2 linked regions of the Pelodiscus sinensis genome follow. The protein of the gene in region 2 purifies or fractionates together with the protein of the main gene of each other region. This does not show direct contact. Links are inferred from orthologs where the notes say so. Each region holds a gene or a part of one and is shown on either strand. Other genes may lie near its edges.

Evidence for each region.
Region 1: the proteins of CD81 (region 2) and IGSF8 purify together in Homo sapiens (co-immunoprecipitation; 3 studies listed by BioGRID and IntAct, with this or other methods). This does not show direct contact. The link is inferred for Pelodiscus sinensis from reciprocal best matches to the Homo sapiens genes CD81 and IGSF8.

What each region holds. Positions count from the first base shown.
Region 1 is NC_134734.1:14,343,193-14,350,446, forward strand, and holds the start of IGSF8 (immunoglobulin superfamily member 8), read right to left. Parts: upstream 3,094-7,254; 5' UTR 2,865-3,093; coding exon 2,804-2,864; intron 1-2,803. UniProt on the Homo sapiens protein: Member of the immunoglobulin superfamily (IgSF) that links tetraspanin-enriched microdomains to the actin cytoskeleton and plays several important roles in innate and adaptive immunity.
Region 2 is NC_134714.1:115,680,565-115,688,172, forward strand, and holds the start of CD81 (CD81 antigen), read right to left. Parts: upstream 3,042-7,608; 5' UTR 2,838-3,041; coding exon 2,772-2,837; intron 1-2,771. UniProt on the Homo sapiens protein: Structural component of specialized membrane microdomains known as tetraspanin-enriched microdomains (TERMs), which act as platforms for receptor clustering and signaling.

The DNA of each region.
Region 1 (7,254 bases), on a different chromosome or scaffold from region 2:
CTCAATTTGTCTGGCTTCAACTCTCAGTCACTGGCTTGAATCCAGATGCCCTGGGTCCCGATCCCATGTCACAGCTATGCACCCCCTCCTACTCTCTAAGGCAGTGGTTCTCAAACTTTTTGGCCCGTGGCCCACCCCGCACAAAGAACACTCTTCTACAGACCACCAGCCAACCACCCATGATGATGAAAGGGTGGGGTGGGGCTGCATGGTCTGGCTGGGAGGAAGAGAGGGTGCAGGAGGGAAGCTACAGGAGAGGGGTCAATGTGCATGACCTGGGAGGGAGAGAAGATGCCGGGAGGGTTGGGGGGTCAGGACATGAGAAGGATGGGGGGCATGTATCTGGCTCCATGCCTCCCACCACCCTCAGCATAGCCCACCCCACCCTGCTGCTCTCATTGGCCATGATTCCAGCCAATGGGAGCAGCGGGGTGGGGAAAACCTCCAGGCAAGCCGTTTTCTGTGCTGCCATTCCCCCATCCGGGGGAGAAGCAGTGGCAGCACACAGAGCCACTTCCTTCCCCTGCAAGCCTGCCAGGATGGCCTGCCTCTCCCCTGCAGCGGGAAGCCAGTGTTGGTGCTTCAACTTCATGGGAGGGGAAATACAGGGCTGGAGTGTTAGTGTAGGCACCCCACTGTGCGGGCAGGAGGGGGGGGGGGCGGGGTAGGCAAGCCCTGAGCCCACAGGCTGCCCGCAAGATGTTTGCAGGCCACTAGTGGTCTGCAGAGTGCACTTTGAGAACCATGGCTCTAAGGCCTTGGGCTGAAACGCAGCTGTGCAAGCCTCAGGGGAGGGGCGCCTTTCCTTTATCAACACAAAGGGGCAAACTGGCTGTGAACCAGCACCACCCTGCCCCAGTCTCTGGAGGTCAAGGGGCAGGGTAGCAGTACTAGGCTGTTATCTTCTCTGCAGTCTGGGGGGGAATAAGACTTGCCCAGTGCTGGCACGCTGGGCTAATTCCTTAGGGTGCGTGCGGCAGGAGGAAAGCGAGGTGTTCTGCTGTCCCCAGAGCGTGTTTCCCACAAGGTTCAGTTACTCTGCCCAGCCCCTGGAGAGGAGGGTGGGTGCTGCAGGGAAGAGACGGGTCTGGGAGCTGAGATGGAGCAGCCTGGGCTGTGGATCAGAGGTGTGGCCAGAGCGCACTGTGCGACAGCTATTTTCTGTCCCCCCGGGGGAAGGAGGGTGAGAGTTAGAGCCACGCTGAGGCTGCTCTGATTTATACCGGGGCAGGCCAGAGCCTGGAATACCAGGAGTGCCAAGTTAAAGCCATTTGTGCCCACAGGGCAGGTGGTTAATCAAAATCAGGCCCATGACGAAGAGCTGTCCTTGCTAAAAAGTCACGCTGGGCCCACAGAGCAACTCACCCTTTCCCAGAAACCCCACCAACTGTAGGGGATTTACGCCGCATCACCAGTGAAATTCCCTGGGGGGCAGGCCAAGCTGGGACCATGCGGTGCAAGCAGCAGGCACTAAGGCCTGGCACAGGAGCCATGACATGCCAGCTGGAGAACCAGGGGTCGTGCAGGTCTGGGGCAGAGTCTTCCCCTGAGCCCTGCCCCCATCCTTGATCTGTCCCTATTCACAACTGGGGACCCAACCAGACAGCCTCATGGGCAGGACAGACGGAGTCGTCTCCTGGGTCTGATCAGCTCTTGCCAGGGCACCGTTAGAAAAGTCCAGAGCTGGTTGTTAGCATGCTGCACAGCCCCTCTCCCCTCCCACGAGCAGGCCAAGGATCAAATCCAGCGGATCCGAGGGAAGCAATCACAAAATGAGGATCAGACTAAATGAAAAGTCAGAGAAGACACCCACCCCGACACATGCACCAAACGGGGCCAGCAGGCAGATGTTTCTGTAAATGGGGGGCAGGACCCGTTGCATTCTCCTGCCCAGTGCTGGTGTGGGCTCTGGGTCACAGAGGCAGCCCTGGAGGTGTGAGCTGCCAGGGCAAGCCCCAGGCACATGCACAGCTTGGTGTTTGGGGGAGCTGCTGGGAGGGAGTTACCAGGGGAATAGTAAGAGGCCTCCCTGCTCCAGTGGGGAGATTGGGGAAGGAGGAGTCAGGAGGGCAGGGCCCTGTTCCCTTGGCTTGGTGGGGGAGCAAGGGCTATGAACCTTCATCCTACCGGGCCACAGCACCTTGCCCCCGAAGGGGCAGGGCTCCCCCAGCTGCCCACACCCCCAGTGCCAAGCTGCCTCGAGGGCAGGGCTCCCCCCCCAGCCACCAGCACCCTGTGTCCCCAGCTGCCAAAGGAGCAGGGAGCCGCCCGCACCCTCAGTGCCCAGCTAGGAGGGGGACAGGGCTCCACCCGGCCGCCTGCACCCCCACTACCTCAGCGGCAGGGCTCCCCCCAGCTGCCTGCACCCCCGTCCCTTTCCCAGCTGCCAAGGGGACTGGGCTCCCCCAGCCTCCCGCATCCCCGTCCCTTTCCCAGCTGCCAAGGGGGCTGGGCTCCCCCAGCCTCCCCCCTCCCTTTCCCAGCTGCCAAGGGGACTGGGCTCCCCCAGCCTCCCGCACCCCCGTCCCTTTCCCAGCTGCCAAGGGGGCTGGGCTCCCCCAGCCTCCCGCACCCCCGTCCCTTTCCCAGCTGCCAAGGGGGCTGGGCTCCCCCAGCCTCCCCCCTCCCTTTCCCAGCCTCAGTGCACCCCCGTCCCCAGGACTCGCCGCCCGCCAAGGGGGCAGGGCTGCCCCACCTCCAGCAGCTCTCATGCGCGGGCCCCCGCACCGCACCCCCATCCGTGCCAAGCAGCTGCAGCCAGGGCTCCCCGCAGCCCGGCGCTGACCCTGCGCGGGCGACTCACCCATCAGCAGCAGCAAGGAGCCCAGCGCGGCCCGGGGCAGCGGCGCCCTCGCGGCTTCCATGGTGGCGAGCACCGGCCCGGCGCTGGGAGCCTTCGCCCGGGACGCGCAAGGCGGCCCCGTGCGCCGGCTCAGGAGAGGGGCGAGGTGCAGGCAGCCCAGGTCCGTTCGGCCTCCCCTGGCCCCGCCCTGCCCGACTGCAGCGCTGGGAACAGCCGCTGGGCGGCCCGGATCGATCCCCCGGCCCGGCCCCCGCCGCAGCCAGCGCCGCCACGTCCCGCGCCCCGGCTCAGAGCGACCGCAGGGCGAGAATGCTCCCCCCCCCCCCCCCCCCCGACCCTCTCCGTGCCCGGCGCCTCCCAAGCGGCCTCCCCGCGGGACACGGGGTTGCACTGCGCGCTGAGCGACCCTGGGCGGCTGTTTTACGAGTCCCAACGCAGAGGCGGCTGCATGTCAATGCTGGGCGGTGAGGGATCCGTGTGGGGCATTGCTGCGTGGCTGCTACACAGCTGCCTTGTTCCACCCCAGAGGTGGCTGCATGTCAGTGCTGGGCGGTGAGGGATCCCTGTGGGGCATTGCTGCGTGGCTGCTACACAGCTGCCTTGTTCCACCCCAGAGGTGGCTGCATGTCAATGCTGGGCGGTGAGGGATCCCTGTGGGGAATTGCTGCGTGGCTACTACACAGCTGCCTTGTTCCACCCCAGAGGTGGCTGCATGTCAGTGCTGTGCGGTGAGGGATCCCTGTGGGGAATTGCTGCGTGGCTACTACACAGCTGCCTTGTTCGACCCCAGAGGTGGCTGCATGTCAGTGCTGGGTGGTGAGGGATCCGTGTGGGGCATTGCTGCGTGGCTGCTACACAGCTGCCTTGTTCCACCCCAGAGGTGGCTGCATGTCAGTGCTGTGCGGTGAGGGATCCCTGTGGGGCATTGCTGCGTGGCTACTACACAGCTGCCTTGTTCCACCCCAGAGGTGGCTGCATGTCAGTGCTGTGCGGTGAGGGATCCCTGTGGAGAATTGCTGCGTGGCTACTGCACTGCTGCCTTGTTCCACCCCAGAGGTGGCTGCCTTTGAGCACTGGTGGAGCAACTATCAGTCCTTTGCACGCTGCTGTGACAGGGTGGGGGAGCTGCCCTGGGCAGGATGGAGGGGCCCTAGGACACTGGACACTTCCCCACTTCCTGGTGAAATAAGAAGCCTTAAACACTGAGAGAGTGGGTCTAAGGGTTAGAGTGGGGTCTAGGGAGCCAGGACTCCTGGGTTTTGGGAGGAGATTAGGATATAATATGTCGCCTGCCTGAGGATCAGAATTCCTGAGTTCTATTCCCAGCTCTGTCAGTGACTTGTTGTAGGATTCCTGTGCCTCAGTTTCCTACAATGTATAATTTAGTTGATCCTGAGCTGCTTTGCAGGCAGTTGGGAGATGGTGTTGCTAATTCATTAACATCCCTGCTGAGGAGTGAGACTTTCCTAGCTGTGCAGGAGACCACCAAGGGCCATTGTTAGGGGAGGAATCATCAGGTGACGCTTTTGTACCCAGCCAGACAAGATCTGTTTGGTCTTGTGGGAGCAGCATGGGTCTGGCCTGAAATGCTGAGTGTTGTCCCTTTGCAGGGCTGTTTTGGCTTTTAGAGGAGCTGTTGCAAGCAGTTGGCACTTTGCTCCCTGCTGGGATCTCTTGAAGGAGAGTCAATTCTCGGAGCAGAGCTGCCCCCAGGGACCGGGCATGGGTGTGTGCCTGTTGCCAGGAATGCCAGTGTTGCCGGGAACGCGACTGTTCCCGGACTGATGCACATAGCGTGGCAAACAAGTGCGCTAAGAATACACCTGAGCTACTTGACACAGGTTTCTCCTCCCCTGGGAAATTGACCTGCTAGGCCCTGAAATCTGCTACTGTTTGGGCAAAGGAATGACAACATTAACCCTCCTGACCGCGTACCATACAATGGGTTCCTGACCACAAGATCCATCTAGCTGCCTTTCAAACTCAGCTCAGCTGTATAACTGGGAAGCTCCCAAAGCCAAGAATACTCCCCTCATACACACACATACGCTCACCCCTGGCCATGAAGTAAGCCCTGGATCTGTACCCTGAGGGTAGCTTGGACACAGTCCTGCTGTGAAGGGGTTTGAAGTTGACTCCTTAACACCATGCCAGCACCCTCCAGGAACTTGGGCTATGGGAAATCCTTTCCCCTGGGATCCAGGAAGAACCTGGCTGAAGCTCATGCCGCAAACCTCAGGCCCGGTTCTGGGGAGTTTGCAGTATCCCTGAATGGGATTGTTCCTCTGCACGCTACTCCTGTAGGGACCTGGGAAGAGTGACCCAGAAATAAACCACCCAGCTCACAGAGCTCTATCCTGGGCCCTTTGGTGATTGTCACACAGCAGCTGCGATGCTGCCTTGACAGGCACATTGAGGGTTCCCTACCTGTGGCCCTGACACAGGGTGACACACAACGGCCTCTCCTCCTCCTGCCACTATCACCTCAGCATAGGGAGAAAGACACCGTCTGCCCTGTGAGATCTCCATTCACTGCAGTGGGAGGCCATTAAGTTAGAGTAGCCTTAACTCTGCTCTGTGTAAGTTACAGTAGCCTTAACTCTGCTCTAAGTTGCCCCAGGCTGAAAGCAACATCCAGCCCTTTTCAGTGTCTCAAGCAGCCTGATTCCCTGTTGTCCCCTTGTGTGCCCTTCACATCAGTGCAGGCCAAGTGTGAACACAAGGGCTATGTCTACACTGGCGCGATCTTGCGCCAGAGATATGCAAATGAGGCTAAGCGTGTCATTTGCATATCAAATGAGCTGTCATTTTTGCAGAAGAGGCTCTTGCACCACAAGGAGCTGTCTATACTTCCCCTTCTTGCGCAAGGAAAACCCTCTTGCGCAATGCCACTATGCTGATTATTTTCGGGAATAATGGCATTGTGCAAGAGGGTTTTTCTTGTGCAAGAAGGGGCAGTGTAGACAGCTCCTTCTGGTGCAAGATCCTCTTTCGCAAAAATGGCGGCTTATTAGATATGCAAATGAGGCTCGGCGATATTCCACGCTTAGCCTCATTTGCATATCTCTGGCGCAAGATCGCGCCAGTGTAGACATAGCCTGGGTGTGTTGCACTCCCCTTTGTACTGGGGTAAATGGCTGCACAAGCAGCAGGGGATACAACTTGGCCCCCATGAGTTCCAATGACAGAATAAAAGGTTGTACTACAGATCCAGCCCCGCCCTCCAGAGAAATAGTTCAGGATCCTCCCCCTCCACCCTCCTGCACTGTGCATGCTGCTCCCACCAGCTGCTGCACTGCTGGAGGTTGTTTGTAGAAGCAATTATCTGGAGCTGGACCTGTCCCAGTCAATATTTCCTGCCCAGCTCGTTGGAGTCTATTGATCCCGCCCCGGTCGATGCAGATTAATCTCCCTAGCACCTCCCCAGAGGAAACCGCAGACAAGCTGTCAAAGCAGCCGCCTGCTAATGGATTCTCTGAGCTCCAGAGCAACAGGTCTCTGCCCCCAGCAGCCCAGAGTCCAAACAGGCTGCTGGCAGGGAGCCAAAAGATCGGCCTGTGCTGGGGTGAGGCTAGCGGTGAACAGAGACTGGGCTCCCATTGAGCTGAAGTCTCCATGGGAGTTGGTCTCCAAGGGCCAGCCACAGAGGGAAGGTCTGATGGAGCAGGGAGATGGTGTGAGGAGATATCACAACCCTAAGGTTGGGATGAAACAAAAGACAGGACTATGTAGCACTTTAAAGACTAACAAGATGGTTTATTAGGTGATGAGCTTTCGTGGGCCAGACCCACTTCCTCACATCAATATGTGGAAGAAAATCGGCACAACTTTATAAATCAAAGTGATACAATCAAAAAAATGAATGCATGTGAAATTGACAAATCAAATTTTAGAACAGAGTGGGGTGAGGGGGGAAGGTTAGTGTCTGTGAGGTAATTTTCAATTTCACATGCGTTCATTTTTTTGATTGTATCACTTTGGTATATATGGTCATGACAATTTTCTTCCACAATTTGAGCTGAGGAAGTGGGTCTGGCCCATGAAAGCTCATCACCTAATAAACCATCTTGTTAGTCTTTAAAGTGCTACCAAGTCCTGTCTTTTGTTTTAGCTACACCAGATTAACACAGCTGCATCTCTATCACTATTCTAAGGTTGAGACAGAGTCCACTCACTGCGGAGGGATAGAGAGCTGTGGGTGACACTCTGCAGACAGAAGCAAAGACAGCTGGAGGGCTCTGGATGGTGGTAGGCATGGTGATGGATGGATGGATGGATGGATGGATGGATAGATGTGTGTAGAGTGGTGGATGGATGGTAGATGGGTAGACGTGTGGCTGTAGGTGGTGGGTAGAGAGACGTGTGTGGTGGGGTGAATAGATGTGTGGTGGTGGTAGATGGTGATTGGATAGATGTGTGTGATGATGGATGGAGGTTGTGGATGTTGCCTG
Region 2 (7,608 bases):
TACAGACTTCTGCTGGCATTAGTCATCAATCAGTGGCATGGTCCCAGACAGACACAGCTATGCCAGCCCCTATTACAGATGTCATTATACTAACAAAATTGTGCTTTGACTGGTACAATAAGTAGTCCTATGGCACCTTAGAGACTAACAAAAACATATAGGATTATGAGCTCAGCTCATCAGATGAGTTGGAGTGGAAATAACAGAATCCAAGGTGTATATATAAATGCAAAAGAAGTACCGGACAATTATCAGACTATTATGAAGACATCATCAGACATTATTGGACAATTATGAAGCTAATTAAAAGGGCTGGACGTGGGAATTTTTTTTAAATTACAGACTAACACAGCTACCCCTTAGACTTTTTTTTATTTTTTACTGGTACTGTGTGTGTGTTGGGGGGGGGATGGGACTGTAGGTGTGTGGAATACATTATACTGCTATAAGTACAGCTTTGCCAGTATAGCTACTTGCAGATTAGGCATGCTTGGCAGTATGGCCCAAGTTAAAAGTGCTGCCAACTTACTGAGGAGAGGAGAGCTGGAGCCCAGGGAAGCAAATAAATAGGAAATCCCCAGAAAACACAATCAGTTATCGGTTAAAGCAGTGTTTCCTGTGTCTATGACCAGCAAACCAGAAAAGAAGACATTTGTAGATAATCATCTTTCACTAGCTGGGGTGGGATGGGGATGGAATCATATAAACAGATTATCTTGAACAAGTGCTGTCAGTTCACACAACCAAGAAGAAATGGGTGTTTCAAAATAATATTTTTTAAAAACTTCAGACTTCACCCTCAGTGAACGCTTCATTTCACAGTTCCAGGCACTGCATTTTCTAGCTGTCAGCGGAGCCAGGGATTCCCAGGGAACCAGAATTTCATGGGAATGAAAAGGAGTTCCCAGCAGTGTCTCCCTCTAGTCTAAACTGCCTCTCTGAGATGGTGCTGCTCAGTGGTGGGGTCCGATCAATGGAAATATATGCGGTCAACTCAGTTTAAAAGTAGGGTGAAAACGGATGTATCCTTTCCTGCCAGCAAAAGCAGGGCAGGGAGGTGGTGTTCCACTACTGCACAGGCTGTAAAAAAGCTGCAAGAACCACCAATCATCTGAGACAGCCCTGGTCATCCTAGCACCAAAGCATCACTGACTGACCCTAACATGTCCAGCAATAACTGGACACATCAGCTCCAACTCAGGAAGGAAAAGGCATGAGAAATAAATAGCCAAACAGAACAAAGAACACAGCCCTTCACCCACAAAAAAACCCTGGGGGGGGGGGGCTCATAACTGGGACAAACATGTTGACCTTATTACACAGACAGGCCTATGCAACCTATTGTTCAATTAACACAGTGGTGTAGAGCTGATTAACTATTCATTGCAGGCAACTACTAGAAAACCCCTCTTGCTATGTACAGGGTAAGATTTACTTCTCAAATAACATGAAAAACAACAGGGCTCAAGTTCTTCAGACCGTTACTTAAAAACAACCAAAACCGGATCTCTTCTAAAATCTAGAGCCGTGGAAACTCAGGCAAAGATTTTCCCGAGATTCGGGGTGTGGTCCCTGCAAAATTCTCCAAGCAGGGAGAGAGTGCGAGACGATGGGAGGGGTGTAGATCGCCCTTCTATGTAGCTCGTCCTAATTTGTCTAGCTTATAAACAACTAACTGGCTTTTAACTCTCTCCTTCCTACCCGTAGCAGCCCTTTCCCAAGCAACCAACCCTAACTCTCAGTCTTAATCTCACAGCAACAGTTTCCCATTCATATCTCAAGGCTGGGAAACATCCTCCCCCACTCTGTCCGGATTCCCTGTTCGCAATACCAGAAGAGGAGGAGCACTAGATAGATTTTTTTAAAATCAGGTTTACGTGTCTCCTCATTTTGAGCTAATTTGTTTTTTAGAGCCAACTTCACTCTACATATTAGAACATTTGGCATCAAAACTAATTACACAGATAAAAAATCTTTATAGAAGAGGTTCCCCCCCTTTAAAAAAAAGGAAAGGAAAGGAAAGGGGGGGGGGAGAAACAGGTCTGACTCCAGTTTCCAGCCTCTAATCACGGGTTTGCACGCTTTAGTGATTATTTAGTGCCCATCTACTAGAACGCCAGAAGACAAATCGGTCTGCAGATGTAGTTATAACTCATTCCCACGAGCGAAACACCCTCAGATGTTATGTAACTACGCACCAGACTTAGTACCCACACCTTCTCCACTCAGCAGAGATAAACAGAGCTCCTCCATGCCTCCCAAGCGTCTACCAATTCAGTTTACAGGTGGTTTACTAACTCTGGAGGGCGTCGGTGCATTTTAACCCTGGATCAATCAACGAAAGCCTTCCGAATGTAACAGCCCGTTAAAACCCACCTCTAGATTTACGGGGATATTTTTTTTTTTAAAAAAAAACCCAATTCTGAACGGTTCCTTAGCAGGATAGGAAGAGCTCACGGCTCAGGCCCTTGTGTGTTTCCAATGCAACAACCATTTTTCCTGGGCTAAGCCTCCTCCATCTTCCAAGCCCTCTGCAGCTCCCTCATCGCTCGTAGCGGTTCGGGGCAGGAGGTTTTGCGCCTCCAGCTCACACCAAGCAAAGCCAAGTCGCCGCTCCATGCTGAGCCCGCTGCATTGTTTGGGGGAGGGAATCTTCCCCCCCCCCCCCCCAGCCAGGAGGAGAAAACACAACACAGCCCCCCACGCATCGCAGGAGACACCACGCCGCCCCCTGCAGCGCCGCGAGACCAGGGGGGAAGAAGCGCACTCACCCAAAAGACAAAATTGAAGACGAAGAGCAGGTATTTGATGCACTTGGTGCAGCCTTCCACTCCCATGGCGGCAGAGGTCGGTGGGCAGAGCTGCCTGCCAGACGGGGCCTGTTAAATCAGAGCGAGCAAAAGCGCCGCAGCTCTTGTAGAGGGTGGTCCTCTCTGTTTTCCTTTGGGACTTCCGCTGACTGGCGAGGTGCTAGGCTGTTTCTCCGCTTTATCTCCTCCCTCCTTCCACTACAGACACCCCCCGACTCTGTTGCTAAGCCAGGATCCTCCCACTCAGACGTAGGTCGTTTTTCCAGAAGAGGCTACCGCCTCCTGGGGGCAGCCAGCCCAAAGTCCCCCCGCCGACTTTCAACCCACGTCTGAAATGCCACAGAGATGATAATAAATAATAATAATAATAATAAATAATAATACTTGGCCGTTCTCAAGCAACTCTGAGAGGAGACTGATGGATAAGTAGCTCTGGGTCCCGGTTTACAAATCAAAGTGACTACTGAAAAATATATTGCTAAAGGATCATTGAATTCAGCAGTGGAGCCGCTCTGTGCCTGGGAATTTTTCCAGATGCCTGCTGGAAATTTGGGGTAGTTCAGGTTAAATCTGGCCGTTTTAAATTTGGGAAAGCTTTTGCGCATTGATTTCCCCCCCCGGCCCCATCCCCATCTAATATGTATAATTTGTATTAGACCTGATGCCACAAAACACCCTCGCATCCCCAGCTCCCTGCCATAACACCCCTGCACCCCCCCAAGCCCCAACCCTGTTCCCTTAGCCCATCATACACCTCAACCCCCTGTCCTCAGCCCCTTATACATCCCAACCTGGACTCCTGCACCCCCCACAACCCCAGCCCCTGCCATAACATCCCTGCACCCCCACACTCCAACTCTGTGCCCATTATACACACCAGCTAAGACTCCTGCACCCCCACATCCCAGTCTCATGCTTACTCATGCTTAACTATACTGTGGGGACTACTCCCATTGAAATCAATGTGACTACTTAGGGAAGTAAACTTAAGCACTCCATCTGAGGCCTAATCAGTGTAGAGTAGAGTGGAAATCTTGCTGCTTGTGTCTTGTTTATATCAGTGTTTCTCAACCAGTGGTACGAGTACCCTTAGGGGTACTCAAGAGAAGTGTGGGGGATATGTCAACACAATTGAAATTTGGAGAAAACTGAATTTTTGTTTTAAGTTTTATTGCGTTTTATTATTTTTGTACTTTTTAGACCCACAAATTTCAGCGCCCACCCTGCTACGATGAAGTTGTTTAAACAAAGGTGTTGCAATGGTAGAAAAAAATTGTGTGTCTGAAAACTGTAGGTACTGGGGGTACTTATATATATATATTTTTTGTGAAGGGGTACTTTATAAAAAAGGATGAGAAACACTGGCTTATATCACTTCTGTTTTTACATACTGGAATGAGGTTTGCTTTTTTTGCAGCAGTGTCAAACTGTTCACTTGTAGTTAGTTTGCGGTCCACTATGACTTCTAGATCCCTTTCTGCAATACCGTATATTCCGGCGTACAAGACGACCTCTGATGTTAAAAAACATCCCCCCAAAATCGGGGGTCGTCTTGTACGCCGGATGCACCGCCGCCGGAGCCCCTCCGCGGCTTTGAAAGCCTCGGGGGAAGCCGGCGGGGGGGCATCCCAGGCGCGCATGGGCTGCCCCCCCCCCCCCGGAGCCCCTCCGCGGCTTTGAAAGCCTCGGGGGAAGCCGGCGGCGGGGCATCCCAGGCGCGCATGGGCTGCCCCCCCGCCGGAGCCCCTCCGCGGCTTTGAAAGCCTCGGGGGAAGCCGGCGGCGGGGCATCCCAGGCGCGCATGGGCTGCCCCCCCGTCGGAGCCCCTCCGCGGCTTTGAAAGCCTCGGGGGAAGCCGGCGGCGGGGCATCCCAGGCGCGCATGGGCTGCCCCCCCGTCGGAGCCCCTCCGCGGCTTTGAAAGCCTCGGGGGAAGCCGGCGGCGGGGCATCCCAGGCGCGCATGGGCTGCCCCCCCGTCGGAGCCCCTCCGCGGCTTTGAAAGCCTCGGGGGAAGCCGGCGGCGGGGCATCCCAGGCGCGCATGGGCTGCCCCCCCCCCCCCGGAGCCCCTCCGCGGCTTTGAAAGCCTCGGGGGAAGCCGGCGGCGGGGCATCCCAGGCGCGCATGGGCTGCCCCCCCGCCGGAGCCCCTCCGCGGCTTTGAAAGCCTCGGGGGAAGCCGGCGGCGGGGCATCCCAGGCGCGCATGGGCTGCCCCCCCGTCGGAGCCCCTCCGCGGCTTTGAAAGCCTCGGGGGAAGCCGGCGGCGGGGCATCCCAGGCGCGCATGGGCTGCCCCCCCGCCGGAGCCCCTCCGCGGCTTTGAAAGCCTCGGGGGAAGCCGGCGGCGGGGCATCCCAGGCGCGCATGGGCTGCCCCCCCGACGGAGCCCCTCCGCGGCTTTGAAAGCCTCGGGGGAAGCCGGCGGCGGGGCATCCCAGGCGCGCATGGGCTGCCCCCCCGTCGGAGCCCCTCCGCGGCTTTGAAAGCCTCGGGGGAAGCCGGCGGCGGGGCATCCCAGGCGCGCATGGGCTGCCCCCCTGCCGGAGCCCCTCCGCGGTGGCGCGGAGGGGCTCCGGCGGGGGGGCAGCCCATGCGCGCCTGGGATGCCCCGCCGCCGGCTTCCCCCGAGGCTTTCAAAGCCGCGGAGGGGCTCCGGCGGGGGGGCAGCCCATGCGCGCCTGGGATGCCCCGCCGCCGGCTTCCCCCGAGGCTTTCAAAGCCGCGGAGGGGCTCCGGCGGGGGGGCAGCCCATGCGCGCCTGGGATGCCCCCCCGCCGGCTTCCCCCGAGGCTTTCAAAGCCTCGGAGGGGCTCCGGCGGGGGGGGGGGGGGGCAGCCCAGGCGCTCCTGGCGGCTTTGCTCCCGGTGCCTCTGGTCTGCTGGGGACCATCTCCAGCAGACCAGGGACACCGGGAGCAAAGGAGGCGGAGGGGCGCTGGGGTATAAGATGAAACCCTATCTTTTAATTAAAAAGATAGGGGGTCGTCTTATACACCCAGTCGCCCTATACGCCGGAAAATACGGTACTCCTTCCTAGGCAGTCATTAGGGTTGCCAAATGGTTTCAGCAAAAATACTGGACACACTTGACATTACATCACAATCTACATTACATCTTATTTAGAAAATACCGGCCATTTATATTTTCTCAATTTGTTTCCCGAACAGAACGCTCAAATACTGAACTGTCTGGTTCAAAACCGGACACCTGGCAACCCTAGTCATTTCCCATTTTGCATGTGTGCAGTTGATTTTTCCTTCCCAAGTGGAGTACTTTGCATTTGTCCTTATGGAATTTCATCCTATTTACCTGAGACCATTTGTCCAGTTTGTCAAGATCATTTTGAATTATAATCCTATCCTCCAAAGCACTTGCAACCCCTCCCAGCTTGGGATCTTCCACAAAATTTATACGAATATTCTATATGTAATTATATAAATCGTTGATGATGATAGTGAACAGAACCAGACCCATTACCAAGCTCTGTGGGACCCCACTCATTATGTCCTTCCATAATGACTGTGAACTATTGATAATTATTAGGGCTCGACAAACCTTTTTATCTACTCGCCTGTGGCGAGTAGATTTTAGCCGGTCGCCCTGTTCACTGGCGGTGCACACATGCGCAGTGCGGGTCTGGCGCATGCATGGTGTGGGGCTGGCAAGTGGATTTCGCCGCGGTTTGTCGAGCCATGATAATTACTCTCTGGGAATAATCAACCAGTTATGCACCCACTATATAGTAGTCCACTCTACGTTGTATTTCACTAGTTTATTAATGAGAAAGACATTTGAGATTGAATCCAAAGCTTTTCTAATGTCTAGGTAGACCACTTCTACTACTTCCTCTTATCAACAAGGTTTGCTATGCCATCAAAGAAATCTATCAGGTTAGTTTGACATGATTTGTTCTTTAAAAATCCATGTTGACTGTTTCTTCTCTCATTATCTTCTAGATGTTTGCAAGTGGATTCCTTAATTATTTGTGCCATGATCTTTCCTGTTACAAAAGTGAAAATGACTGGCCTGTATTTCCTGGGTTGTCCTTATTTCCCTTTTTATAGGTGGGCTTTTTCCAGGCTTCTGGAATCTTTCCTGTCTTGTATTATCTTTGAAAAGTCATGGCTAATGGCTCAGATATCTCCTCAATCAGCTCCTTTGAGTATTCTAGGATGCATTTCATCAGGCCTTGGGAACTTGAAGACATCTAGCTTGTACAAGTAATTGTTAATTTATTCTTTTTCTAATTTTTTTTAACTCCGGAACCTACCTTATTTTCACCAGCAATCACAATGCTAGGTGTACAATCACCACCAGCCATCTTAGCGACAACCAAAATGAAGCCATTAAGTACCTCTGCCATTTCCACATTTTTGTTATTGTTTTCCCCTCTTTACTGAGTAGTGGTTCCAACCTGTCCTTCCCCTTCTAAAACATTTGTAGAATATTTTCTTGTTACCCTTTATGTCACTAGCTAGTTTGAGTTCATTTTGAGCCTATGCCTTTCTAATTTTGCCCCATACATAGTTTTGTTGTCTGTATTCATCCTTTATAACTTGATCTAGTTTCTTCTTCTTGTGGGACTCCTTTTTGATTTTCATATCACTCATGATCTCCTGGTTAAACCAGCGTGGTCTCTTCCGTACTTCTTATCTTTCCTGTGTTGTAGGAAAGTTTGCTTTTGCACCCTTAATAATGTCCCTTTGAAAAACTGCCAACTCTCCAATTTTTTTTTCCTCTTAAGGTGTGTCAATACTGCACTCATAGCTCGAAATAATCTATGCAATTTGAGCTATGCA